7 linked regions of the Canis lupus familiaris genome follow. The protein of the gene in region 1 interacts with the protein of each later gene in a biochemical or structural test. Links are inferred from orthologs where the notes say so. Each region holds a gene or a part of one and is shown in the gene's direction. Other genes may lie near its edges.

Region 1 (3,954 bases):
TCCCCCGGGCGGAACTCTGACCCTGGATAAGGAACCGAAGTGGCCCTCTCCCCCACAGAACACACGCTCCTGGAGCGTAACTCGCGGAGTTTTCCTTTCACAAAAGGATCGCTAAGACTTGGAGGCCTCAGGGGTGGGGGGAGGGGCAGCTGTTGGAGAAATCTCTGGCTCTAGCCGAGTGCAGGGCCCGGGGAGGGGTCATCTGCAGTGTCCTCCCGCCTCGCCCGCGCCTCGCTGCCCACCCCTGCCCGGTGGACTGTGGGAGGCCGGGGCCCCACTGGGTGGCGGGCAGGGGCCTGGGCTGCCCTCTGACAGCCCTTCTCTGGGTGTCTGTCCCAGCCCAGGACAGGCACCGCCCGCCAGGTGTGCGCTGGAAGCCGCCACAGTCCCTGGGGCCCGCTTGTCCCGCTGTCACCGTGGGAAGCCCCCCATCTGCTCCTGTAGAGCTGTCGGTGTCTTGCTTCGGGGCCACGGGCAGCTCTGGGAAGGCGCGGCCAGGGATGGAGGGTCGTGCCCAGGGCAAGGTGGCTCTGCAGCCCGGGGGCCTGGGACCCCTCCCTCCGCAGCCCCCGTGTCCCGGGCGCGCATTGCAGCCGGGGTCCCAGGCCCCATGGGGGGGCCGGGTCGTGCCTCGGGCCTTTGAGGGTCACCTCGGCTGCGCCCCCCCCCCCGGGCATCCTCCCCCCGCGCACGGGGGCAGGAGCCCCGGGAAGGCCCCACCGGCCGCGGCGGAACCGGGCCGCGCCGGGAAACTGAGGCCGGGCAGCACGCGGCCGCGGGGAGCCTGGGCCGCCGCCTGCCGCCTGCCGCGCGCTCCCGGCGCCGCGCCCTCGCCCCGGCCGCGCCGGGGGCGCCCCGGGCGGCGGAGGCGGATGTGGGCGGGCGGCCGGGCGGGGCGGCGCGGGGCGGGGAGAGGGCGGGCCGGCGGCGGCGGCGGAGGCGGAGGCGGCGGCGGCGGGACGAGCGCGGCGGGCGGGCGGGCGGGCGGCCCAGCGCAGCCAGCGCAGCAGCGCAGCCGGGGGACGCGAGCCGGCGGCCGCCACGAGCACCGGGCCCGGCGGCGCGGAGCCCCGCCCGCCCAGCGCCCGCCCGCCGCGGCCTCCAGCCCGGCCCCGCCCGGCGGGCGCGCGGGGATGCGGAGCGGCGGGCGCCGGAGGCCGCGGCCCGGCTAGGCCCGCGCTCGGCCCGGAGGCGCCCGGTGAGTGCCCCGCCCGCGCCCCGGCCCGACTTCCTCCCGCGGGCGCTTTGTTGGCGGCGGCGGCCCGGGCGCGGCGGGGGCGGGGAGCGGAGCAGGAAGTGGCCGAGCGCGGCCTGGGCGGGGAGGGCGCGGGCCGGGCCGGGCCGGGCCGGGGCGGCGGGCGGCGGGCGGCGGGGTGCGGGGTGCGCCCGGCCTCCCTCCTGACCTTGGAGGCGGCGGCCGCGGGGCGCGGGGCGCTCGCGGGGTGCGGCGGCCGCGGCGAGTTTGCGGGGGGCCCCGCGGCGGAGCCCTCCGCGGCCGCGAGACGGAAAGTTGTACGTGATGGCGAGGTGCCCGGCGGCCTTTGTGGGCCGCGCCCGCTGCGGGCCTGCAGCCTGCGCCTGAGCGGTGGGCCCGGGGGCGCCGCCCACCCGGCCGGGGGTTCCTGCGCGCTGTCGGGGGGCGGGGGCCCGGGTGTGCCCCGAGCCCGGTGCAACGGGAGGGCGGGGGCGCCTGGCGGGCCTGGGTCCCCTGCCCTGCGCGAGCTGAGCCCGCGGCCCCACGGCGGCCTTTGGAGGCAGAGGAAGGGGCCCTGTGAGCGCAGGCAGCGCCTCCTGAGCCATCCCCTAAATAATAACGACGCTAGCAGCCCTCGGGGTGGAGGCCCTGGGGTCCGGAAGCCGTGGGAAACGGGGACCCCGTCCCTGCGGCCGTGCGCCCCGAGTGCGCCCCGAGGCTGCCGCGCTGGCCTGCTGCGTGCGTTTCTCTGCAGATGCACACCAGCCTGTGTGTGTGCACAGATATATTTTTACACGCGGGGCTCGACAGCTGTCTGACTCTGTCAGCCGCGGCCCCACGTAGGCCAGGGTGGGGGCGGGGGACATCCAGAGGTCTCCGAGGCCAGCCCTCTGCCTCCAGGCCACGCCCACTTGTGTCCCCAGAGGGGCCCCGGCCTGCCCCGGGGCTCGGGGCTCGGAGCCCTGTCCTTGGAGGTCTTGCTCCCCGCGCTCGGCTGCCGGTGGCCTGCGGGGCCCGTTGGGCACTTTCTCCCTGGGCAAAGTGTGTTCCCTGGCCTGGCGGTACACACAGCCAGCGGGGGCTTCTCGCTCTTCTAAATTTAGCCTAAGACCGTAGGTTCAGAGCAGCCTCCCCTGGGTCCTCACCCTGCCCCAGGAGGCCGGTAAGGTGCGTGGCCAGAGGGTGCCTAGGCAGCTGTAGGAAGAGCCGAGCTGGGCTCGCTGCGGAGGTCCCCTGGCGTCCTGGGCCCGAGGTCCCCGAGTCGAGAGGCTCCCGGGCTGCCCTCGGCAGTGCTCGCGTGGAGGGCTCGCAGAGGACTGCGCCCAGGAAGAGTGCTCTCTCCCAGGACGCACAGAGTGGGTGAAGGTGTGAACTGGGTTTTGAGGGATGCCTAGGAGTTCATCCAGCAGGGAGCGACGGGGAGGGCCCCTCAGGTTCAATGGCCAGAGTGTCTGCTCCAGGGAAGGCTGCTGGTGGGCCAGGGCGGGTGCCAGGGCCTCTGCATTTGTCTAGAGCACCCCCCCATTTGTTGCCTCCTGAATGCTGTAATTATGGGTCTGTGACCAGCCTGGACTGGGTGCTTCTCAGATGGGACCATGTGAACCTCTCTTTGTCCCCGGGGCCGAGCCTGGCGAAACCAGAGATGCCTGGTCCGTGCTGGCCGGATGAATGAACCAGATTCAGACCGGCAGGGGTGCTGTGGTTTAGGAGGGGCTTGGGGTTTCTTGGGGGGAGGTATTTTATGTCACCCTGGAGGGCTCCGGGCTCTCATTTGCGCCAGCCGCCTGGTCTCCTGGCCCTACTTTGTTCTGTTTGAATTTCTCCTCTTTCCTAGTCTGGGGCGAGAAGGAGGAACCCCGGCCTGTGGGCAGGGAGCTCAGGGGCACTCACCAGGGCCCTGGAGAGGCCAAGCAGCATAGACCAGAGCAGTCAGAGGGGCTGCCTGGAGGAGGTGGCAGGTTAGGGAGGCTGGGATATACCCGGAGGGCCTCTGGGGTGGGGAATGGTCTGTGGCCAGGCGGGGGGAAGTGGGAATGTAGGAGGGCCAGCAGACCCTGGGGACCTGGGGGTCAGAGAGGGGTGGCAGGGGGATTGCAGCCTCGGCCCCAGGGAGCAGGGCTGGTAACCTGGACTCTGTCGGGGGCCGTGGTGGGAGCCATGGGGAGTGGCTGTGGCTCAGGGCTGTGAGGGGGTGGGAGGACCCCGCAGGGGATCCTGGGTGCGCAGGGCCTCCTGGCCTCACCGTGGGGCTGGAGGGGTGGACACAACCTCACACGCTGCCCCTTGATTTTTCCAGAGGCTGGGTACGCCGGCTGGCCTCGGGGAGACCCTGCTGAGAGGGGCCAGCGAGGGGCGCTGGGGTGGCCCCGGCCCGCTGGAGCAGGGCGCCATGAACGACGTGGCCATCGTGAAGGAGGGTTGGCTGCACAAGAGAGGTCAGTGCCCGCGGGGCTTGGGGCTGGGGCAGGGGTCCCGGGGCCGGCTCCCCTCGGGTGGCCGGGCTGGCGTAGTGGCCGCCTGGCCGGGTCCCTAGGGCGGGAGAGCCACCGCCACCTCCCTGCCCGCTTTCCTGGAAGGCAGGGAGGCCACTGGGGCGCGTCCAAGGCCTGGCTCGCTGGCGGCCCGGGGCACTGCCCGAGGGCTCCTGAGGCCAGGGCTGAGGTGCTGCGCCTGGCCTGCTGCCCGCCTCGGGCCTGGGCTGGGGGGGCTCCGCACCACCCCGGGGCCCGGCACGGGGCGTGCATGTGCTGGAGCAGCGA
Region 2 (4,041 bases), on another chromosome or scaffold:
GGCTAAATGGATGACAAGGAAAGTCATTTAGCGTCTCTGGGTCCGTTTCCTTGTATGCAAAATGTAGATAATTAACCTACCTAATGGGGTTGCACGGAGGACTAGTGATAATGCACGTGAAACAGTAAAGCTCTTATTTTCATGTATTGGCAACAGTAAACTTTTTTTTTTAAGCTGTATGGAATCTGTCCAAGCTGACCAAGACATTTATTCTTCCTTTTTAAAATGCAGATGTCAGTATATTAACAGGGTAACTTGGGCCTCCAGCCGGCTCTCCTCTCAAAAATCTTGATAGGGCTTAAATCCTTAATTTTTTTAGTTCCATATATTTCTATTGGCACCGCCCCCCCCCCCCACAAACCCCATCCATAGTCTTGAGCAGAGAAAGCTTTTTTTTTTTTTTTTTTTTTTTTTTCTTAAACGTTTTCATCGACAATTAAAAGGGAAGGAAAGACCCTGAACGAGACTGAGGTCAAAGAACGTCGTGATAGGACGCGGGTCATCCCGCAGGTGCAGGGCGCCCGGGGCGGGGGCGGGGGCGGGGGCGCGAGCCACGTGGCGCCCGCGGGGGCCCGGCCCCTCCAGGCCGCCGGCGCCCTCGCTGCGGGGGATGCGCGGCGGCGCCCAGGTCCGCGGCGGCCGGTGAGTCAGCGCCGCGCCCGGGGCAGCCCCGCAGCCGGCGCGGCCCGGGGAGCTCGGGAGCTCGGGAGCTCGGCCGCTCACCGCCTCCCGGGTCCGCCGGGCCGGCGAGGTGACGTCACCGGGGCTGGGCGGTCTCGGCGGCTCCGCCAATGGGAGGCCGGCAAGGCGGCTCGCTGCCCCCGCTCCGGCCAATGGCGGCAAGGCAGAGCGGGGCCGTCGGCGTCGGGCCAATGGGCAGCGGGCAAGGAGCACGAGGCGGAGTCGCGAACCCGGCCGCCAATTGGGAGGAGGGGGCGGAGCCCGGGCCTTGTCAAGCGTGACCAACCAGAGAGAGGAGCGGACCCCAGGGGGCGGGGCCGCGGCGCGTCTCCCCAATCGGGCAAGGCCGGGGGCGGGGCGTTCTTCCGGGCGCCCAATGGGGAGCGCGGCCGGAGCGGGCCTGTCAAGAGCAGGGCCTGGGGGCGGGGGGATGGTGAGTCGGAGATAAACACTCGGCGGCGGTGGCGGCGGCGGCTCTTCCCCGGCTGCTGTCACGGTGTCGGCGGCGCCCAGCGCCCCGGGCCCCTCCCTCCCGGCGAGCGCGGTCGCCCGACAGGCTCTCCCCGCCCTGCTCCGCGGGGCCCGGCGGCGGCGGCGAGCCCGAGCGGTGGGGGTTGGTCCCGCGGCCGCGGCCCCCGGTGCAGAATGGCGGCGGCGGTTCGGATGAACATCCAGATGCTGCTGGAGGCGGCCGACTACCTGGAGCGGCGGGAGAGAGGTGCACGGGGCCGGGGGTCCGCGCCGGGCCGGGGCCGGGGGCTCTGCGGGGCACGGCCGCTGGGGGGGCGGAGGGCGCGACCGCGAGCGCCTCCAACCCTCCGGCTGCCCCACGCGCGGTGCGAGGGGAGGCCGCTCCGCCCGGGGGGGCGGGGGTGCGCGGGGTGCCCGGGGTGCTCGGGGTGCACGGGGTGCTCGGGGTGCACGGGGTGCTCGGGGTGCACGGGGTGCGCTAGGTGCACGGGGTGCTCGGGGTGCCGGGGGTGCGCGGGGTGCCCGGGGTGCTCGGGGTGCGCGGGGTGCCCGGGGTGCTCGGGGTGCCCGGGATGCCGCCCCGCGCAGGGCGCACCAACCTGCGGGACGTCCCCAGCGGGCAGCCCGGGCTCCGCGAGCTGAGCCTCAACAATGAGCAGCTCGCTCGCTCCTTGCACCTGCTCCGGACTGAGGGTGCTCACACAATTTAAGGGAGGAGTTTAAAAAAAAAAAAGAAATCCTTGTTCTAAGAATTCCACCTTGCATCGCTTATTTCTTGACACAGAAATTTCTTTTCATCACATGCTCGTGATGAAAAATAAGGTCTACAAGGAGCTCCTGTGCAGGGGGCTGGGGGGGGGGGGAGTGTTGAAGGTTCCAGGCTCATTCATTAACTGGGTCCTCCGGTTTTCTAGAAGCTGAACATGGTTATGCCTCCATGTTACCCTACAGTAACAAGGACAGAGATGCCTTAAAACGGAGGAACAAATCCAAGAAGAATAACAGCAGTAGCAGGTAATTTCGTAAATCTTTCTCTTTCTCTCTCGGATCACGATACAAACTGCAGAATGGAAGTGGCCTGTGGTGATTATGACCCAGGAAAATGCGTTAAGTGGCGATCAGGATTCAGGAAGGCGCACATGGTCCTAAGCCACTGGAGGAAGCAGCCCTTCTGTTTGGGTTGAGGGGACAGAAAGGAGAAATGGAAAAGCTTTGCGCTTCTTTATGAACTTTTTAAACTTAATTTTTGCTTTTCTTCCCTTTTGGAACAACGACAACAACAACAAAAATCTGTGGAAACTTCCAGTGAGATTGGTAACCGTGACAATATTTTGCCTACAGAAGTTGCAGATTCAGGGCAAGCTTTTTTTTTTTTTTTTTTTTTTTTTTTAAATAATCAAAGAGGCTGGACGTTATCCGTTTCTTTTACTTTTCATAGTGAAGATTGTACAGACACGTTAAAGTATCTGATTTAGCCTTAGGGGTAGGACTTCATATTCGACATGTAAATTAAATGCAATGGTTTATCTCCTCTGTTACATCTACTTATAATGGCAAAGAGGAATGATTGAGGTTGAAACCTCCCTTTTGGTGATGGAGGATTAATATTAAAATATTAATATGCCACGATCCTTTTACGTTTGGCTTATAGTTCTTAAAATCTGTGAATCTCACTGGAAAGCAGGTGGTTAAGGGTCCGTGAAATCACATTAAAGCCCTGAGTACCTATGAGTACTCTATAAATGAGAACTCAATAAACCTACCCCCTTTTTTCCCCCCTCTTTGCCCTTAAAATATAAGTTAGCTAGGAAACCTGTTAGGTCTCTTTACTTATACCTTTCATTCCAGTAAATTAAAGCCCCTCACATTTTCATCACTGGCTTACAATCCTTATTCCTCTCCCGCCGTCATGTATAACTCCCTGCAAGTAACTGTATTTGGTCACCCCCTGTGACGTCACACACACCACTAAAAGCCAGGAGGTCCCACTTAAACCTAAACCCACTTGTTCTTGCTGCTGCTGCTGTTGTCCTTGATTCATCCCATTGTCCTTAGTGTTGCTAGAACCACAGGATGTGAGCAGCACCCATGTGCTGGGCTCTTGCCGAGGAAGGAAGGCACGTGAGGGATGAACCTGGTAATTAACCACCCCACAGTTTTCTCTTTCCCTCCCATCTTCCGCGTTACCTGAAAGTGGTAGCGAATAGATCCGTGTGTGGGTATTAGGGCCTGACTTGTATCCTGCAGTGCTATAAAACAATTTAGCTGTGTTGCATCTTGTTAGTCTTTTTTTTTTTTTTTTTTTTAATTTTTGGAAGAATTTTGAAGCTTGTTGGCGTATTTTTTCCTGAGAAGGTAGCCCAACTGTTGCTTTTATTCCTGTCCGTTCATGGTTTAGGAGGAATTGTCCACCTTACTCGTCAAGGCTTAATCCTCAGCACTTTATTTTTTCCTAAGTTTCGCAGGAAAGTTGGGGGAGGTTCAGTGGTGGGGAGAGGAAGAGCAAAGGGTGTTGAGAGAGAGAAGTAGGCTGGTCCCCGAAGGTGATTAGGAAAGAAAAATAATGATAGCTGAGAATCGCAAGCCACGAAGCAGATTCTCTTTAATATCCAACGTTATTACGGAGAAAATAGCTGTGACTTCTGAGTTTGGGAAGAGCTCTCTTCTGTTAATGGGCTTGGTGTGCTTTCCACGGTTACAGACCAGAGGCTGTCACAGTTTCCCATATTCCTGACTAATAATGAATTAGCGTAGTACCTGCGTGGTGCCGGATCTCCGAGAGGCCGTGATTAAGCCTGGAGATGGCACCAAGCAAACGTGAAGCAAGAGCAGGTTGTTTTGTTTTACTGTGGTCACTTCCTTCATGCCCCGTTGGGAATGACCCTTACC
Region 3 (4,150 bases), on another chromosome or scaffold:
TAAGAGTTATTTTTTTAAAAAAGATTTTCTTTATGTATTCACGAGACACACACGCACACACACAGAGGGGGGAGACCTATGCAGAGGGAGAAGCAGGCTCCCTGAGGGGATCCTGATGGAGGACTCAATTCCAGGACCCCAGGATCACAGCCTGAACCAAAGGCAGACGCTCAACCACTGAGCCACCCAGGTGTCCCTTATTAAGAGTTACTTAAAAGTAGGATTTATATTTTTAATACAGAAAGCTATATACACCCCCACCTCACAACACACCCACTATAACTTGATGACATTTAAAAAATAAATAAAACACAGCTATGGTTTGAAAGTGGAAATCAGAATACAAAATGAGAAACGCTTTCATTTTTTGGACTGTTCTGTGTGTATGTATAAAAACAGCAATTAAAAAAAAATTTTTTTATTGGAGTTCAATTTGCCAACATTTAGCATAACACCCAGTGCTCATCCCGCCAAGTGCCCTCCTCGGGGCCCGTCACCCAGTCACCCCAACCCCCCTCCCACCTCCCCTTCCACTACCCCTTGTTCAGTTCCCAGAGTTAGGAGTCTCTCATGAAAAACAGCAATTTCATAGGATTCCACCTAGTATATGCCAGCAGCCACCGTTCTAAAGCTTTCTATGTATTAACGTCCTTAAATTCCTCAACAACCCCACGGGGTAGGTACAATCATCACCCTTCCTTGGTAATAACACACTTTCTCCCGGGGAGAAGCAGAACGATCTGGGGGAGTGCCAGCAAGCTAAGCAGCTTCCACGTGACTTGAAAAGTTTAGAGAAACACAGAGGTCAGCATATGCCATTAAGGGCCGAGGAGGGCTTTCCGCCGGGTGTCCGACACGCGCCCTCTGGGGTACCACACTGCACGCGTACTCAGTCCGAAGGGCAGGCGCCCGCTGACCCACCCGCAGCCGCGTGCCAGCCTCTAGGTGGTTGCCCGTGGAAGGCGCGCCGGGCTCCGCTGCCTCAACCAATCTTGCTAGAGTAGGCGTACTCCCTGCGAACAAAAGCGTTCGGAGTGACTGCCACTCTGGCCACTCAACGCCGAGCCCAGGCCCGCGCCTCCAATCACGGCGGAACTTCCGATTGGTGGAGTCCCTCTGAAGTAGGGTGGACTGGCAGGAAAAGTCCCGCCTCCCTGGGGTTCTCAGCCAATCGCGGTGTCCGGGCGGCAGCCGCCGGGTTCGGTTGCGCTGCGTGTAATGATCTGGGGACCTGAGGGCGGGGCGGGGAGCAGGCCGGGGTCTGTGGGGAGGGGACGCTTCCCGCGGGCGCGCGGAGCGAGGACGGTGACAGCCACGCGCGCACGTGCGCGCCCGGCCGCAGCGCGGCCCCGAGACCTCCGTCGGCCGCTTCGAGGCGCGCGGGGGCTGGGCCGCTGCCGTCTAGGGGCCCAGTCCCGGGGCGTCCCCAGCGTCCCCGGCCCGAGACCCTGAGCGCCGGGCAGAGCCCATCCGCTTGGTCTTGGCTCGTGTTCCGTCCCCGTGGCCGTAAGGGTCCGCCCCCCAACTCCTCTTTACGCTCCCGGGGCAGGGTCCTCACGGCCCATGCTGGCCGCTGGGGGCCCGCGCGGACCAGCCAGCTCCCAGGCGGGCCAGTCGGCTACCATGGTGGCCCTGAGGCCTGTGCGGCTCCTCCAGGGGGGCTAACAGGTCCAGAGCGCAGGCCTCGGGGCGCGAGGGTCCCGGGCCTGAGCCCCGCGCCATGGCCGGGGCCATCGCTTCCCGTATGAGCTTCAGCTCGCTCAAGAGGAAGCAGCCCAAGACGTTCACCGTGCGGATCGTCACCATGGACGCCGAGATGGAGTTCAATTGCGAGGTAACCGACTGGCAACCCCGACGGGCTGTGGCAAGCGGGCGCCGGGCGGAATCCGGCGGGATCCCCGCTCGCCCGGCCCCGCTGTGGGTCGGGCACCAGCTGGGGCGCCCCTGCCGCGGTGACAGTCAAGGTGGAAGCTTGAGGGATCCAGCTCGTATCATCTCTGAGCATAGACGGAGCCAGCCAGAACCAGAAGGAGCCATCTAGGCCCAAATCCTCATGTTAAAGATAATTGCTGCTTTTTTTTTTTTTCTTTTTCTTTTTTTTCTTAGGGCTTTTGGGTTTGGAAGCACTTCATTCAGGTTTTCATTCATTGTTACTGGAAGCGTCCGTGGAAGGCCAAATTCTGGTTTTCAGTGTCAGGCTTAAGTTCCAGCTCTATGGTTTTTTTTTTGTTTGTTTGTTTGTTTGTTTGTTTTACTTCATTAGATATTTTTATGTGCCCCAGGTATTAAAAGTTGCGTCTTGTGTTTTGGAAAATCTATACTTACTTCCTTTTTTCCAAAAGCTTCCATTTTCTGGAAGTGAACTATTTCAGATGAGAGTTGATGTCTAATATTTTTCATGCAGTTTACACCATGATGATACCAGTTATCATTTGTTGAATGTGTTGTAAGAGTCAGACATTAATACATTTAATTCTCACAACAACCCAATGAGGTAGGCACCCCAAACTATGTATCTAGTTTGTGGCAAAGTGGGATTTTAAGTCCAGCTTTTAGCCAAAATAGTACTGCTTCTCATGTAATTTAAGTCCTTGCTAGTCCAAAGTGTAGTCTGTGAAACCAGCAGCACTGACAGAAGTGACCTAAGTCAGGGGTTGACAAACTTTTTCTGTAAAGGGCCACGTAGTAAATATTTTCAGCTTTGCAGGCCATAGGATCTCTGTTACAACTACTTAGTCCTTCAGCTCTACTATTATAGCACAAAAACAGCCTGATGATTCACTTCTAGTATGACAGTGTGAGTAGCTTCATTGACCTCCCTTGGAGGACTAGGAAAAATTACTTCAAAAAACTCAACTATTTAAACCTTCTGGAAATGGTCCTAAGGGCAAACATTCATCAAATGAATAAAGGGCTATTTGAGAAAATCTATGAAAATTTGCTAAGGCGAGAGTCTATGGTATTTGAACCAAGGCTACTACCTCCCTCCCCACTTCCAATTCAGCAGAGTAGAGATTCCACTCCAGACTGCTGTAACCCAGAACACAGGGCTCCCTCTTCCCTAGCTCCCTGTCAGACCACTTTTTTCCCAGGAGGAACAGGATTTCAGTGTTTCTTATTCTGCATAAGCTTACTTGTTGCTGAGACTAAGTACCAGATGTGTATAGTTGAAAGATGGGGCTTACTTCTTCTATCCAGCTCCTATTCACAGAATGGGAGCTGTGCCTTGTGCATGGCATGCTGAGACTACTGGGGCCCCGGTTACTCCTGGCCCAGGCCCAGCTTGTGCAATGGTGGTTCCATGCCAGAGAAGGCAAACTGAGAAAACTTCAGGCTTGTGTGTTCCCCCAATCCTTCCTCTTCCGCCAAGGACTCAGAGATTTTACCTGGAGGGAGAAGGCGGCTTTAAAACCTGTAGTTCCTGCTCTCTTCCCAAAGGCAGTTACTTCATTTGCAACAAAATGTGGAGAAGTGTATCCCTAAAGGAACTCTTAAAACAGTGGAGGATTTGATGAAGGGCAATTGGGAGGAGATTATGGATTTTTTAAAAAAATTTTATTTATATATGATAGTCATCACAGAGAGAGAGAGGCAGAGACATAGGCAGAGGGAGAAGCAGGCTCCATGCAGGGAGCCTGACGTGGAATTCGATCCTGGGTCTCCAGGATCGTGCCCTGAGCCAAAGGCAGGCGCTAAACCGCTGCGCCACCCAGGGATCCCGGAGGTTATGGATTTAATGAAGATCCAGCCTAGAAGGTAGGCCAGCTAGTTTGCAGTAGAGAATCAGAGAACTAAAACAGCTGGGAAGAGCCCTTCATGGGATTGAAAAACTTTACCCCCCAAAGAGCCACCCTTGATTGGATTACTTTGTAGAGCAAGTTATGCTCCAGGGCATGGATGAAAATAATAGAAGACTAAAACACAATTAATGGAGTTTAACAGCTGGGTGTGATTAGGGGGATGAGAAAGAGCCCTATTAAAACCACTGACACCCAAGGATGACTGTGGCCATAACTGAATTTGTGCCTCTCTGAAGAAAACATCATAGGCCTTAACACTATGTGAAGGAGATAGATTTCACTAAAACATTCCAGCTCATCACTAAATGAACAAACCAATAACAAGCCCTGGGGCTGGGATGGGGAGAACC
Region 4 (3,500 bases), on another chromosome or scaffold:
GACAGCACCTATAGAGTATTGCCAACCACAGAAGGTGGTTGAAGGTCACTGTGCCTTGATTTCCAGGGATTTTATTGGGGATTGGTCACATAGCCATGGAATGGAGCTGCCTGTATGATTGACCTCAGTTACTCTGTCTCCAAGGCCCTCCAGAGGTCAAGTTAATTGCTTGATCCTTGCTGTGAGTCATGTTGTTAGCGTAGTCTGTCTGGCACAGCCCAAGTCTCCCAGGTAACCACAAAGACCTCTCATCAGGCAGGATATTCCAAGGGCTTAGAGATCTCACAGAAGCTGGTCAAGGACCCAACCCTTGTTAGGAATGTGCCTCATTTGAGCAACCTGGACCTGCTGAGTTAACCCTTTATTGTACTGCACACTTGTTCACTTGAGTCACTGAATTGTGTCTTACTTGGTTCAATTTAGGATTCCTTGTGATGTCTGCCATCTAGGAATGTGTAATTTGACACAAGGATCTAGTAGGGCTTCTGTTTGATTAATAAGAACTAACTGTGTTTATGTATTTTTTCTTACACGTTGTTCACATACTTTATGGAAGTAGGTTGGGTACGTACATCTGTGTATGTGTGAGTACATGTATAGTAACATATGTGTATACATACATAGTAAGTCAGTGCTCGTAATACTGGTAGTCAGCAGGCAGCTCAAAAGTATTTTTGTCCCATTGTGCATTCTTTCAGCAGAAACGTATTGAGCACCTGCTATGGGCCAGAGACTATGCCAGTTACTGGAGACATAAAGGATGAATGAGATGTGCTCCTTAACAGAGTTCAAAGACTAGCAGGGAGAACAAAAATCAGAGAACGGATACTAATGAGCTCCCACACATCAAGCATCTTGTGGATCAGATGCCAGCAGGCACTTTGATGGCCTCAACCACCCTCAAGGCTAGATGTATGCTTCCCTGTCACAGATTAATATCCAGGGAGTTATTGCCCCTTGCTGATGGGATCCCAACTGACTTGCAGCAGAGTGGGAATGTTATCACATCTCTTTTTTCCAGAGCAACATATTTTTGTAGTAATTCCTGCAGGTTCTTCAGAACAACTACCCATGTCTTGTGGTCTGTGGTGAGATTCAAAACGCTGCCTCACATAATAACCCATGCATGCTACTTGCTCAGGAGAAGCTGGGCAGGGCAGTAGCAGGCCCTCAGGAAGTGTGACTTTTATGGAGTTGATGAGGGGCAACTCTCAGCCCTCTTCTGGGCCAGGTACATCTTCTCAGACCCTTGTCTCCTCAGTGTCCAGAGGTGCGGCTCAACATTATCTCCAACCTGGACTGCGTGAATGAGGTAATTGGCATCCGGCAGCTGTCCCAGTCCCTGCTGCCTGCCATTGTGGAACTGGCTGAAGACGCCAAGTGGCGAGTGCGGCTGGCCATCATTGAGTACATGCCCCTGCTGGCTGGACAGCTGGTGAGTAAGGTGGCATGGGACCAAGCACCATTGTGTGCAGTGTGTCTAGGGCTATGACAGTGTCCCTGGGGCCCGTGAGGGCTATCTGAGGAGAAGGAGGAAGAGGCATGGGAAATGGGGCTTATAAGGTGAGTAGACTTTAGTTAGAAAAAGAGAAGGGAAAGGAGCTCCCCAGGTGAAGCTGAGAAGTGTCCGATGTGTTTGGGTGGGTGTTTCCCTAGGGTATCATTGGAAACTTGATTCCTTAACCTTTTTTTCTCCTGCAGGGGGTAGAATTCTTTGATGAGAAGCTCAACTCCTTGTGCATGGCCTGGCTTGTGGATCACGGTTAGTCTCTCTAGTGGGACAAAGGAGGATATTGGTATTCCAGGAAGGCTGGATGGGCATTGGCTGGGGCTGACGGGTGTGGAGTCACTTTCCCAGGCTATCTGCTGCTGTGTGGACTTATTCCCTTGCTTTTAGAATCCTAGGGAAGTGCAGGATGGGAGGGGGACAGAGCAGATCACATAGAGGTGGCCTGGTCCAGTGGAGAGAGGGTGCGAGGGCTACTGGGTGGATGACCTGGGCTGGAATCCTATCCCTGGCTATGGAATCTCAAGCACACTCCTTTGTGAAATAGGGGGCTTCTCAGTCTTTCAGGGCCATTGTGAGAAGTGCTAATGAGCAGTTTTCAGTGACAGGTAAAAATTAAGGTTAACATTTGTCTGTATCGGAACAATTCCAAGTATTAATTACGGAATGATTTGCTTGAGCAAATCACTTCTCAGAGCTGCGGTTTACCCATCTCTAAAGGAGGCCAATAGTGAAACCTATGTCTTAGAGTCATTGGGAGGTACTGTACAAAAAGAAACCCTATCTTTAGCACGCAGCAAACCCTTTGGTTCACCTGTAGCCCAGTACCTAGGTGACTGCTACTCCCTGCCTGCTTATTCCTTTACCTCCTGAATCCCTGCCCTTTTGCAGTGTATGCCATCCGTGAGGCAGCCACCAGCAACCTGAAGAAGCTGGTGGAGAAATTTGGGAAGGAGTGGGCCCATGCCACTATCATCCCTAAGGTCTTGGCCATGTCCGGGGACCCCAACTACCTGCACCGCATGACTACGCTCTTCTGCATCAATGTGAGCGCCCCCGCCTGACCTCTGGCCTGTGCCCAGGGACCTGGGAGTATGTAGGGGAGGAGGGATGGCAAGAGTCTTTAGGAAGATATCTGGCTTAGGAGCACAGACATGGTGAGGTTTGGGTGGGGCAAGGATGATTCCCTGGGGGAACAACAGGCCAGAGGGTGGGGACCTGTATGGTGAGAAACCCAGGACTGGGGATACTTGGCCTGCTGAACAGTGACTGTCTATACCCTTCCGAGCATCCCTCTCCTCCACAAAGTGTATTTGTATATTTGTTTATGATAGTTGGTTATGTGTACAGGTTCTACAATCAGAGCTACTCTTTAATTCTACCTCTGCCATGTTTTAGTCATGGACCTTGGGATGCTTTTTAACTGCTCAGTGCTTTAGTTTAGAATCCTAGGGAAGTGCAGGATGGGAGGGGGACAGAGCACTCATGCTGGTAATTGCAGTACCTTACTCACGAAGTGGTGAAGATTAATCTGGCTATATGTGCAAAGGTTTTAGAGCAGTTATGTTAATAGGAGCAAGGGCTCCTTTTTATCCGTTTAAGTAAATCATATAGATAACTAGAAATTAAAAGATAGAATTTTAAAATATTAATAGAACTTAGTGTTCTGATTTCTTCCCATATCCCACTTTGGAGAGCATCGCGCTAAGGAAAGCATCCCCGAGGGTTAGGAATCAAGCATCCCCAGAGGATAAAAGGAATTCTGAGGATGGAGAAATGAGACCAGGACAGTCTGGGCTGGGGGTTTCCAGAATAGGGAGACAGTGGTATTAGGGCATTAGGAGGGTATTAGTGGAGATGGTAGCTTTGGAAGAATCAGCTGTCCCCAGGGTGGGTGAACCTGTGCCCAGAGTTCCCCATATTGCTCAGCATCACCCTCAGGCCTGATAATCACTGAGGTGGCCTGGTGAGAGGAGGGGGAAATGGAAATTAG
Region 5 (3,955 bases), on another chromosome or scaffold:
GGATATGTGGAGTATTTGTTGGTGACTTCAATGTTGTGTGATGTTGCCCTGGGGCCTCCTCCCTCCCCTTTTTCTTTTTGCCAAGGTGCATTTTTGAGAGGCTTTCTAGGCCATCTCTTAGGAGAGAGATCATATTGCACAACCCGGGTCTTTCTTTCCCCTTCACGGTGTCTTCCTCCAACCATTCTGTCAGGAGACACAAGGCCAACAGCGAGCTCCTGTTCTGTGCCAGTCCTCTTAGCTCATGGAAACCTCCCTTCAGTTCTTTAAAAAAAAAAAAAAAATTTTTTTCATTTTTGAAATATAGAAATCTGAAATATTGAAATTTGAAATATTGAAATATAGACGACACACACACACACACACACACAATCACTTCCCTGCAGTTCTTGAGGAAGATAGTTATTCCCATTTTACAGATAATAGAGGTAACAACTAACATTCTTACTAGGTGTTTACGTCGGGCACTGTGCTAAATGCTTTACAAGTATCGTCCCATTCGATTCTCACAGGAATACTCTAAAATCGGAACTACTGGGGAACCCTGGGTGGCTTAGCGGTTTGGCACCTGCCTTTGGTCCAGGGTGTGATCCTGGAGTCCCGGGATCAAGTCCCACATCAGGCTCCAGGCATGGAGCCTGCTTCTCCCTCTGCCTGTGTCTCTGCCTCTCTCTCAATCTCTCAGTCTGTGTCTCTCATGAATAAATAAATAAAATATTTAAAAAAAAAATAAATAAAATCGGAACTACTGTCCGGATGACACAACCGACAGCCAGGACAGGGGTCTTTCCGAGGCTACACAAGGTGCGGTTGGCATTTGAACCCAAGTCTTCGTGACCTAGAGGCGGAGCTGTCTCATCACTCATTTCTGGATGGGTTGAGGGCTTCTTTCCATGCAGAACCAAGGAAATGTGAGCGCGAACCCCAATGCTGATCCCTATCCGACGCGAATCCACGGATCAGCGCGTCCCGCCGCATCCCCAGCTCGCAAGCTCCGACCCCGGCCTCACACCGACCGCAGAAGGGCCGCGCATGCGTACCACCACGTCCCGCTCGGCCCCGCCCCCCGGGAGGGCTCCTCTCCGAGCCGTCGGCTCTGGGGCTTGCGCACTGCGCACTACGTCCCCAGCTCCGGCTTCTTCCCGGTCGGGGACTTCCGGTGCGCGGGGTGCGGTTCCGGGTCGTGGCGCGACTTGGGGCAACAGGGTTGCTGCTCCGGCGGCGGCGTTGGTGGCGGCGGCGGCGAGCGACGGGGGCATGAGGGCGAGCCAGAAAAACGGCAGTTGAACCGGCGGGGAGGAGCGCCAGTCCCCGAGGATTCCGAGAGTGCGGAGGCCGGGGCAGGGACCGGGAGGCGCGGGGAAGCCGGGCCCTTCCCTCAGGAACGTATCCCCGGGCCGATCCGACCCGTAGTGTGGCAGCAGCTTCAGGTAAAGGTTGCCCCAGCCGCTAGCTTCCTCGCTCACTCTCGGGTCAACCTACCCGAGGAGCCAAGCGGCCCTTCTGGGCGCTGCCCTGCGTCGGTAGCCTGCCTGGCCCTTGATCAGGGCTTCATTGAGCATCCGTTTCCTGATCTTTTCCAGAACTGGAGGCTGCTGTGAGCCTGACAGCTTGGGTGTCTGATTGGGGGAGGAGAAGCCCGTGGACTGGGTAGTGTTGGGTGGGGGGGAGGGTTGGCTCTGACAGTTTCTGGTCCTACCACCTGGCAACATGTAGTTGTCCTAATCTTCGTAACATGAAAATTGTGTTTAAAGCATTGTCTCTGTGGTCCCTGTTTCCTTAGCGTTCCTTTTCCACAATTGTCCCAAAGGAGTAAGCGGCCTCGCAACACTTTTTTTTTTTTTTTTATTTTTTATTTCTAGCTGGAGTGCTGCTGGAACTTGGATTCAGCTTTTTATGAGAATGGCAAAGGGGTCTTCTAAATCTGGTTAAGGCTAAACGAACAAACAAAAAACAAAAAAGTAGTTTAAACAAGATTATTACTTTTAACTGGAGACTCAAAAGTTGACTCAGAAATTGGTTGAGATTTTATTTGGAATGAATGCACCTAATTTTTGAAGCCTGTTCCATACAGTACTTGGCACGGTGCGAAGCATCATGTTTTAAACCAAAACCATCGAAGTTCAAAGCTTCCCAGATGTGAACAAATGGAGACAGGTCTTAACACATGGCAGTTCAAACAAAGTCAACATTCTCATTCTATGTCTCACAAGTAAAAGGGGTGGATTGTTCATTTAAAATCCTAGTATAACAGGAAAAGTTGGCACCATGTTTTATTCCTCATTCGGTGAGCCCATACAAGGTGCTTAGTCAATGCTGAAAGAATTCTTGATGAACATTGATTATTGTGTTCATCTTTTTCAGTTTACACACTTGCTGGGGCCTGCGAGGCATGCTTGTGGCCCCTTTGTCATTTAGCTTTATGCTCATATCTACTTTCAATCACTGTGGTGCCAGGCTACTCACATTCTACGCCTCTTGATGTGGCTCCAGCTATGCTTGAAAAAGTCCCCTTCCTTAATTCTATACCCTGATCCTTTACTCTAGATAAGTAGCACCTCAGATCCCATTTGTTTTCTCTTTGTCCATTGTTTTTTTGTAGGACATTCTCCTTGCCTAGATTTCTCCTTTTGTTTCTACTCATTGAGATGTTACCTAGGGCCCAGCAGAAATTGGTCTCCCTCCACCAATTTGAGACAACCCCAGTTGGGAAAGATTTCTTTTTTGGAATCCTATAAATACTCATATCTATAATAATTTCACTTAGCAAACATTTACTGAACACATACACATGCACCAGGTACCATGCTAGACAATGTATGGATAAGTAAGACTCAGTCCTTGCCTGTGGGGAGCTCAATTTAGTGAGAGAGATAAGGAAATAATTTCAAGACAGTGATAAGTACACTGTGTGAAGGTACTTTCTGTGATGCAGTGATAGCATGGGGGTGAGGGGGGGTATTAACTTTCGAGGAGTGTGCTATGATCAGGTAATGCTTCATGATGTGGTTATTTACCATGTGCTGAAACTATATTTAGGTTTCTCTTAATCATTTTAGCCTCAATTTACAGATTAGGAAGATTCGGGATAAATTACACATTTGGTACGAGACAGGCAGGATTTAACCCCACGTCTGTCCCATGCCTACATCTGTGCATTTTTCATTATGTGTTTCCTTCTTTCACACACCATAACACTATATACAAGTATATATTGAAGAAACTATAAAAGAGAAAAAATATGAATGCCAAAATGAATGTTACAGAGAGTCTTTTATTTTATTATTATTATTATTATTTATTATTTTTAAAGATTTTTTATTTTATTCATGAGAGACAGAGAGAGAGAGAGAGAGAGGTGGAGACACAGGCAGAGAGAGAAGCAGGCTCCGTGCAGGGAGCCTGATGTGGGACTCGATCCCAGATCTCCAGAATCAGGCCCTGGGCTGAAGGCAGCGCTAAACTGCTGAGCCACCAGGGCTTCCCGAGAGTCTTTTTTTTTTTTTTTTTTAATAAAGATTTTTATTTATTTATTCATGATAGATATATATATAGAGAGAGGCAGAGAGACACAGGCAGAGGGAGAGGCAGGCTCCATGCAGGGACCTGACATGGGTCTCGATCCCGGGTCTCCAGGACTGTGCCCTGGGCCAAAGGCAGGCGCTAAACCACTGAGCCATCCAGGGATCCCCCCTCCCCCAGAAGAGTCTTTTAAATGTAGAGAAAACTGTGATCTTTCAAGGCGAGAAGGTAGTAGGTGGGTCAGTTCAACTTTCAATATAAGAATGGAAGACCTTCTATAGAGAATAACGTGGTCTCTGGATTTAATTCCTGTCCCTACTCTTATTCCTTGACCTTTGGCAAGTTTCTTAATTCCAGTCATTATTTTCTTCAAGTATGGGTTGGTATAGGGGGATAATATTGATCTCATGGAGTGTTGTGAATATTTAATGAG
Region 6 (4,079 bases), on another chromosome or scaffold:
TGGGCCATGGTGCCCCAGACCCAAGCTACCACAGGCTGCAAGATGTGGGGAAAGCCAGTGTGAGAGGCAGCTTCTGACCAGCCTGGGGCCTGAGCTCCCATCCAGCCGGTCCCCAGCCCGGGGACCTGGCTGCAGGGTTCAGAGGGCACAGACTTCAGGGCATCTCACCAAGCCCCCTCTGTCCCCTCTTTTATCGGGGTGGGAGGGTGAGGGTGAGAGTGAGCCTTGAAATGGCAGAAAAGCCAGACCTCTGTGTAGAGGCTGGTCCCCAGGCCCAGCCCCTGCCCCCCCAGGCCAGCTTACCTCCCTGCTGCACCTCACCTCCTCCTCTCACTTCCTCCTTCTCAGCAGCTTCAGCCACCGGCTGGGGGGCCCCTCCCACACTCCCCTCCCAAGTGTGTGGGGGGGTCACCTCTTCCTCTCTGAGGCTCTTCCGGCCTGCCCCAGTGCCCCCAGGACCGTGGGCTCCTCCCACCCTCCCCATGGGCTGGGTGGCTGCAGGCTTGGGCTCCAGAGCAGGGTGTGACCAGTCCAGGACCCACCCGAGTTACAGAGGCCAGGCCCCTCCAGTTTTGAGGTTAAAACAATTCAAGATTCCAGTGAGAATTCTCGTTTATTTAATATTTGCTCTTTACAAGTAATGCTTTGAATATATACCTAACGCAGCGTTATTATGCACTCAGCAGGCAATAACGGAACTTACAAAAATTAGTTCAGCGTGCAGCACAGCGTGGACCAAGATGGGTTCAGAGCGCCGCGGCAGGTGCCTGGGTCTGGCCAGCTGCCTTGAGGGCCGCAGAGACTCAGGAGGTGGAGGCCCCCCGTGAATGTGAGGCCAGGGTTTTGGACCAACCCACCCCCCTGCTATCTCTTGAGTCTCCGTTTCCTTTTCTGCACTTCGAGGACTTGATCCGCAGTGTCTGGAGCATCGGTTATTAATGTGCTCATACCACGCTCCCGCCCAGGGGGTGGGTTAGCGTCTGACAGAGACAAACAACTCCCACAGCACTTCCGGCCCCATATTCTCGGAACTGGACTCGGGTAACTCCTCGGGGGCGGGACCAGACTCGACCCCGCCCTCCGAGCTCCACCCACCGGCCGGGCTCCGTCCCGACGGCCGAGCTCAGCCCGAGCCCCGCCCCGTCCCCTATGCCCCGCCCCCCGGGCCGCCGCGGCCGCTGCGCGCGGTGTCCGGCGGGAGCGCTAGAGCGCGGGGGCAGCGCGCAGGGCGGGGCGGCGGGCCGGGGAGGCGGGGCGGCAGGCCGGGGCGGGCCGGGGCGGGCGGAAGGAGCGCCAGGCCGGAAGGAGGCAGCGGGCGGGAGGGAGGGCGGCAGGAGCGGGCCCGGAGCTGCTGGGGCGGAGCGGCGGCGCCGCCATGTCCGACAGTGAGAAGCTCAACCTGGACTCCATCATCGGGCGCCTGCTGGAAGGTTGGCCGGGGCCGGGGAGGTCGGTGCCCGCCGCGCCCTGGCCCGGAAGTGGTGCGCGGGCGGGCCTGCCCCTCCCCGGGCCAGCTTAGACTGGGCGGGGACGGGCCGCAAGGTCCCGTGGCCACAGCCGCCCCCCGAGTCGCGGCGCGCCGGGGGAGGGGGGTTCCGGGGACGCTCTGGCACGGGGAGCAGCCCCCCTCCTGGGCGGGGGGCGCACGGGTTGGCCTGCGCTATTGGGAGTGAGGGAGAAACCTAAGAAGCCTAGCTCCACCCCTCCCAGGGGTCCTGCGCTATGGGTGGGGTGTTGGGTGGCAGGCCCCCGCGCACAGCACACCCCCTCGAGGGGGTCCCATCCTGGGAGGCCAGAGGCGGAGGTCCTGGGAGGCTCACCAGCAACAGCTGCCCCTAGGCAGGGAGGGGCCTAGGAGGCCCAGGCGCCCTCAGATGTGCCCATAGGGCCACTTGTGTCGCCCACCTTCCTCCTGCCTGAGGGACCAGAGTCTTGACACCCCATTCCTCCCACAGTGCAGGGCTCGCGGCCTGGAAAGAATGTACAGCTAACAGAGAACGAGATCCGTGGTCTGTGCCTCAAATCACGGGAGATTTTCCTGAGCCAGCCCATTCTTTTGGAGCTGGAGGCACCCCTCAAGATCTGCGGTGAGTCTGCTGCCCAGATCCCTTTGGCTTTCTGAAAGTGGAATCCCCACTTCACCCCGCCCAGTCCTTGCATTGCTGCTCCCTGGAGCCCGAACTTGGCCCTGGGTTCAAGTGTAGCCCCTGCACCTAGCGCTGAACCGGTTCCCTGGGTTACAGGTGACATCCATGGCCAGTACTACGACCTTCTGCGGCTCTTCGAGTATGGTGGCTTCCCTCCAGAGAGCAACTACCTCTTCCTGGGGGACTACGTGGACCGGGGCAAGCAGTCTTTGGAAACCATCTGCTTGCTGCTGGCCTATAAGATCAAGTACCCCGAAAACTTCTTCCTGCTCCGTGGGAACCATGAGTGTGCTAGCATCAACCGCATCTATGGCTTCTACGATGAGTGTGAGTAGCCCAAGTCCTTAAGTGACTTCCCTTTTCGGGGAGACCCTCACATAGGCCTGGCAGTAGGGGAATTGGTGTCTGACCACTACCCACAGACCGCGAGCTCTGCGAAGGGTGCACACCAGTTGGTGCCTCTCTGCCTGCCCTCCTGCCGTGGGGCCGGCACGCAGGAGGGGTCTGGGGAGTGACTGCTGAGGACTGCCCATGTTCTAATGCAGGGCCCTGCCTCATGACACTCCCCTCCAGGACATCCATTAGGCACTTGGGATGCCTATTTGGACTGGATCCTACCAACCAGAAGCTGAGATAAACCAGGCCTAGTCTTGGCCTGGCCCTGCTCACTGGGTGCGGGTGGGTTGTTTCGGATTGGAACTCAGGTTCCTCTGGACCTAGCTGCTTTAGAATTCCTGGAAGGCTGGTAGGCAGCGGAGTCGGGGGAGGGGGGATTCTCTTCTTGTCTGCCATTCTCTTCTCCCAGCTGTGTCTGGAGGGCCTCAAGACCCAGGCTGGCTGTGGGGCAGATAGGCCTCATGAGGCATCTCCTTCCTCCCAGCAGGCAAGAGACGCTACAATATTAAACTGTGGAAGACCTTTACTGACTGCTTCAACTGCCTGCCCATTGCTGCCATCGTGGATGAGAAGATCTTCTGCTGCCATGGAGGTGAGAGTGGCTCTAGGGTACATGTTGAAGGGTTCTTTGGGAAGGAAGAGCCCTGGGCCACATCCCGGGGAGCCCTGGGATGAGGCTGTTAGCTGGAGGATGTCTTCCCCGTCACCTGGAAGACCTCTCCCAGTGGTCTTGGTTTGCATGTCACTCTTTGTTTTGAGGCTTAAGCAAGTAACCTGCCCTCCCCCAGGCCTGTCCCCAGACCTGCAGTCCATGGAGCAGATTCGGCGTATCATGCGGCCTACAGACGTGCCGGACCAGGGCCTGCTGTGCGACCTGCTGTGGTCTGACCCTGACAAGGACGTGCAGGGCTGGGGCGAGAATGACCGTGGTGTCTCCTTTACCTTTGGGGCTGAGGTAGTGGCCAAATTCCTGCACAAGCACGACTTGGACCTCATCTGCCGGGCACACCAGGTGGGCTGGCAGCTCTGGGGCGGGTGGGAGTGGGGCCTGGGTAGCCAGCACCTGCTGAACAAACTGCCCCCATCCTCATCCAGGTGGTAGAAGATGGCTATGAATTCTTTGCCAAGCGGCAGCTGGTGACTCTCTTCTCGGCTCCCAACTACTGTGGCGAGTTTGACAATGCAGGCGCCATGATGAGTGTGGATGAGACACTCATGTGCTCCTTCCAGGTTGGGATGGGGGAAGGAGGGGGGCTGGTGACCCTGTGGCTTAGCCCATGAGTTTGACCAGCTCTTGTCTTTTTTAGATACTCAAGCCCGCTGACAAGAACAAGGGGAAATACGGGCAATTCAGTGGCTTGAACCCTGGAGGCCGGCCCATCACCCCACCCCGCAACTCCGCCAAAGCCAAGAAATAGCCTCCGCGTGCCCGCACTCTGCCCCAGATGGTGGATTTGTACAGAAATTACGTGGCCATAGGGGGTTCACGCTGGCCCCCCAGGCCCACCTGTCACGGGGAACACGGAGCCTTGGTGT
Region 7 (3,039 bases), on another chromosome or scaffold:
ATACATGAGAAGTGCTGCGCCTACGTTCGCCTTGGCGTCTTCCCAGAGCTCCCGCCTCCCCCAGAACAGCAGAGCCTCCTAGGTTCAGAGGGAGCTAACCACTGCTCCCCGCTAGCAGAGGCACCCAGGTCGGGGTGGGGGCGGGGGCGGGGGCGGGGGCGCGGCTCCCGGCCCCTCCGCGAGCGCCAAAGGCCGCCCAGCCTCCCCGCAGCGCCGGAGCCGGGGGGGGGGGGGGGGGGGGGGGAGAGCGCAGCGGGGGGGGGGCGGGCGGGGAGAGCGCAGCTGGGGGCGCAGAGCTCCCACGGCCAGCCTCCGCCCCCCGCGGCCCGCACCCCCGGCTCGGCGAGCGCGGGGAAGACGAGCTCGCCACCGGGCCACCTAGGAGGTCATCTGATCCTGCCCCCTCCGTCTCCCCGCGCGCGGAGCGGGCGCGCCAGGCAGCGCAGCGCGGGGACCTGAACCCGCGGCCCCGCCGCCCCCGCCCCCGCCCTCCCCGGCTTCCCGGCCGGTTGGCTAGTTTGTTTGTCTCGTTTTTAATTTCTCCGAGGCCAGCCGGAGCAGGTTTGCTGGCAGCCGCGCACCTCCGGAGTCACGCGACCAGCCAGGCTCCGGGCGGCGCAGTCGGAGGCGGGCGCGCGCCCGGGGAGGCGGGGCGGGGCGGGGCGGGGCGGGGCGGGGCGGGGCGAGCGGGAGGCGTCGCGGCCGCCGGGGCCACCTTAAGGCCGCGCTCGCCAGCCTCGGCGGGGCGGCTCCCGGCGCCGCAACCAATGGATCTCCTCCTCTGTTTAAATAGACTTGCGGTGTCAATCATTTTCTTCTTCGTCAGCCTCCCTTCCACCGCCATATTGGGCAACTAAAAAAAAGGGGGCTCGTCCTTTCGGGGTGTTTTTCTCCCCTTCCCCTGTCCCCACTGCCTCGCCGCTCCGCGACGCCGACGTCCGCAAGGTTTGGAGAGCCGCTCGGTTGGCGGGACCCGCGGGCTCGCGGCAGCCCGGGCTTGGACTGGCTCTGCCGCCCCTCCCCTCCCCTCCTCTGCCCTCCTCTGCTCGCCTCTGCTCGCCTCTGCTCTGCTCTCCTCTCCTCTCCCCTCCCCGCCCCGCCCTCCCGCTCGCCGGTCCGCTAGAGCGGCGGCGGCTCTCGGCTGCCGGGCCGGGGCTTCCCCTCACCCCTCACCCCTGCCCCTCCCGCCTCCCGCCTCCCCCGGGCCAGCGCGCCCCTGACGCTCGGGCAGTTACTTGCGCGTGTTTGTTTCTCTTGGCTCCGAGCGCGATCGCAGGGCTTTCTAGGGGGCGGTTCGGGCTGGGTCGGGGCGTTTTGTTTTGTTCAGTTTTGTTTTCCGAGAGAGGGAGAGAGCGCGCGCGCTCGCGGCGGTCGTGAAGACCGGGGAGGAGGATGTCAAACGTGCGAGTGTCTAACGGGAGCCCGAGCCTCGAGCGGATGGACGCCAGACAGGCCGAGTACCCCAAGCCCTCCGCCTGCAGGAACCTCTTCGGCCCGGTCAACCACGAAGAGTTGACCCGGGACTTGGAGAAGCACTGCAGAGACATGGAAGAGGCGAGCCAGCGCAAGTGGAATTTTGATTTCCAGAATCACAAGCCCCTGGAGGGCAAATACGAGTGGCAGGAGGTGGAGAAGGGCAGCTTGCCCGAGTTCTACTACAGACCCCCGCGGCCACCCAAAGGCGCCTGCAAGGTGCCGGCGCAGGAGAGCCAGGACGTCAGCGGGACCCGCCAGGCGGGGCCTTTACTGGGGTCTCAGGCCAACTCAGAGGACACACACTTGGTAGACCAAAAGACTGATGCGCCCGACAGCCAGACGGGGCTAGCGGAGCAGTGCACTGGGATCAGGAAGCGACCCGCGACCGACGGTAACGACCCCTCCCCAAGCAGAGAAGGTCTGGGTGCCCAGGACCCTAACCGCAGCTTGCTTTTCCAGAGTATTCCGATGTAGTGGAGGTGGGTGGGGGGAGCGAACTGCCCTCCTCTTGGGTTTTAAATGCTTGTCCGCCTGGCTGCCTGGCTGCTTATGATTTTTAAGTCAGGAGCCTGTTTTTAAGTCAGTGAGATGCTGTTATCTGATCATTGCTCCAACCGAAAACATCGCAGTTCCTCCCGGCTGGCCAGCGCTGGGTCTGTGACTACGTTGGGATGTTTATCAACGGCCTCCCTCTTTGCAGTGGGGAGAGAGAGAGAGAGAGAGAGAGACAGCGAGACAGCTCTAGGGGCATAGAATACACTTTCTGTTATGTGAAAACAACCTCATTCTGTGCCCTTAAAGGCCACCGGGAATGACGGATCCAGGATGGTGGGTGGAGGTGTGGGTTTTTCATCCCCTGACTATTGTGCCAACTTGTGTCAGCCATTGTTTTTCTAATAAAGATTGTGTGTGTTCTTTTTAAAATTCCCTCCTGCCCTTAGATTCCTCTCCTCAAAACAAAAGAGCCAACAGAACAGAAGAAAACGTCTCAGACGGTTCCCCGAACGCGGGTTCAGTGGAGCAGACGCCCAAGAAGCCGGGCCTCAGAAGACGTCAAACGTAAACTGCTCGGTGGGTTGATGACTAGGAGCAAGAAACTGACACTCCGAAATGGGCTTTCACACCCCGAGATACCCAATCTTGGTGGTTGCTGGCAGAATGGAGCTTGTGGGTTTTTGTTTCTATTTTGTGAGGTGGAAAAGTAGGAATGGGGAAGGCTGGGAATCGCTGGTGGGGATCCTGTAATTTTTTTCACACTGTCTACGTCCTGAGGTCATTTTTCCTTGAAAACACGGAATAACCAGAGCAAGTGTCCTAGCCAAAGTACTTGTGACCGAGGCTGGATGATGAGTGGGAAGGTCAATTCCCTGTGAATCCCACCAAAACCGTTGGGAACAATAGGTTCTTTCCCCCCATCTGAGCAAGAACTGGGATATGCTTCAGTCCCACTTCATAAGAATTCTTTTCCCAGAGGTTTCAAGTTGAGTCAGTAACAGATTTTGAGCCATACATGGGAAGAAGGCAAATAAATGATAAAAGTTAAAATTTGAGGGAAAGGGTGCA

What was found.
Region 2: of the proteins of AKT1 (region 1) and MXD1, one has a biochemical effect on the other in vitro, tested with the Homo sapiens proteins (2 studies listed by BioGRID, with this or other methods). The link is inferred for Canis lupus familiaris from reciprocal best matches to the Homo sapiens genes AKT1 and MXD1.
Region 3: the proteins of AKT1 (region 1) and NF2 form a complex in vitro, tested with the Homo sapiens proteins (2 studies listed by BioGRID, with this or other methods). The link is inferred for Canis lupus familiaris from reciprocal best matches to the Homo sapiens genes AKT1 and NF2.
Region 4: the proteins of AKT1 (region 1) and PPP2R1A form a complex in vitro, tested with the Homo sapiens proteins (2 studies listed by BioGRID and IntAct, with this or other methods). The link is inferred for Canis lupus familiaris from reciprocal best matches to the Homo sapiens genes AKT1 and PPP2R1A.
Region 5: of the proteins of AKT1 (region 1) and MAPKAP1, one has a biochemical effect on the other in vitro, tested with the Homo sapiens proteins (3 studies listed by BioGRID, with this or other methods). The link is inferred for Canis lupus familiaris from reciprocal best matches to the Homo sapiens genes AKT1 and MAPKAP1.
Region 6: of the proteins of AKT1 (region 1) and PPP1CA, one has a biochemical effect on the other in vitro, tested with the Homo sapiens proteins (3 studies listed by BioGRID and IntAct, with this or other methods). The link is inferred for Canis lupus familiaris from reciprocal best matches to the Homo sapiens genes AKT1 and PPP1CA.
Region 7: of the proteins of AKT1 (region 1) and CDKN1B, one has a biochemical effect on the other in vitro, tested with the Homo sapiens proteins (2 studies listed by BioGRID). The link is inferred for Canis lupus familiaris from reciprocal best matches to the Homo sapiens genes AKT1 and CDKN1B.

The regions. Positions count from the first base shown.
Region 1 is NC_049229.1:72,734,917-72,738,870, reverse strand, and holds the start of AKT1 (RAC-alpha serine/threonine-protein kinase), read left to right. Parts: upstream 1-1,154; 5' UTR 1,155-1,198; intron 1,199-2,541; exon of another isoform or gene 2,542-2,560; intron 2,561-3,029; exon of another isoform or gene 3,030-3,153; intron 3,154-3,491; 5' UTR 3,492-3,584; coding exon 3,585-3,630; intron 3,631-3,954. UniProt on the Homo sapiens protein: AKT1 is one of 3 closely related serine/threonine-protein kinases (AKT1, AKT2 and AKT3) called the AKT kinase, and which regulate many processes including metabolism, proliferation, cell survival, growth and angiogenesis.
Region 2 is NC_049231.1:69,850,522-69,854,562, forward strand, and holds the start of MXD1 (max dimerization protein 1), read left to right. Parts: upstream 1-1,241; 5' UTR 1,242-1,326; coding exon 1,327-1,399; intron 1,400-2,066; coding exon 2,067-2,166; intron 2,167-4,041. UniProt on the Homo sapiens protein: Component of a transcriptional repressor complex together with MAX. In complex with MAX binds to the core DNA sequence 5'-CAC[GA]TG-3'. Antagonizes MYC transcriptional activity by competing with MYC for MAX binding.
Region 3 is NC_049247.1:23,221,827-23,225,976, forward strand, and holds the start of NF2 (merlin), read left to right. Parts: upstream 1-1,350; 5' UTR 1,351-1,720; coding exon 1,721-1,834; intron 1,835-4,150. UniProt on the Homo sapiens protein: Probable regulator of the Hippo/SWH (Sav/Wts/Hpo) signaling pathway, a signaling pathway that plays a pivotal role in tumor suppression by restricting proliferation and promoting apoptosis.
Region 4 is NC_049222.1:105,602,393-105,605,892, reverse strand, and holds part of PPP2R1A (serine/threonine-protein phosphatase 2A 65 kDa regulatory subunit A alpha isoform), read left to right. Parts: intron 1-1,261; coding exon 1,262-1,435; intron 1,436-1,701; coding exon 1,702-1,762; intron 1,763-2,398; coding exon 2,399-2,553; intron 2,554-3,500. UniProt on the Homo sapiens protein: The PR65 subunit of protein phosphatase 2A serves as a scaffolding molecule to coordinate the assembly of the catalytic subunit and a variable regulatory B subunit.
Region 5 is NC_049230.1:57,532,008-57,535,962, forward strand, and holds the start of MAPKAP1 (target of rapamycin complex 2 subunit MAPKAP1), read left to right. Parts: upstream 1-1,155; 5' UTR 1,156-1,430; intron 1,431-3,955. UniProt on the Homo sapiens protein: Component of the mechanistic target of rapamycin complex 2 (mTORC2), which transduces signals from growth factors to pathways involved in proliferation, cytoskeletal organization, lipogenesis and anabolic output.
Region 6 is NC_049239.1:50,565,326-50,569,404, forward strand, and holds the start of PPP1CA (serine/threonine-protein phosphatase PP1-alpha catalytic subunit), read left to right. Parts: upstream 1-1,279; 5' UTR 1,280-1,375; coding exon 1,376-1,430; intron 1,431-1,955; coding exon 1,956-2,087; intron 2,088-2,243; coding exon 2,244-2,474; intron 2,475-3,030; coding exon 3,031-3,135; intron 3,136-3,331; coding exon 3,332-3,555; intron 3,556-3,638; coding exon 3,639-3,773; intron 3,774-3,850; coding exon 3,851-3,961; 3' UTR 3,962-4,079. Other genes in the region: TBC1D10C (carabin), read right to left, coding at 1-101. UniProt on the Homo sapiens protein: Protein phosphatase that associates with over 200 regulatory proteins to form highly specific holoenzymes which dephosphorylate hundreds of biological targets.
Region 7 is NC_049248.1:12,564,997-12,568,035, forward strand, and holds CDKN1B (cyclin-dependent kinase inhibitor 1B), read left to right. Parts: upstream 1-1,392; coding exon 1,393-1,867; intron 1,868-2,417; coding exon 2,418-2,539; downstream 2,540-3,039. UniProt on the Homo sapiens protein: Important regulator of cell cycle progression. Inhibits the kinase activity of CDK2 bound to cyclin A, but has little inhibitory activity on CDK2 bound to SPDYA. Involved in G1 arrest. Potent inhibitor of cyclin E- and cyclin A-CDK2 complexes.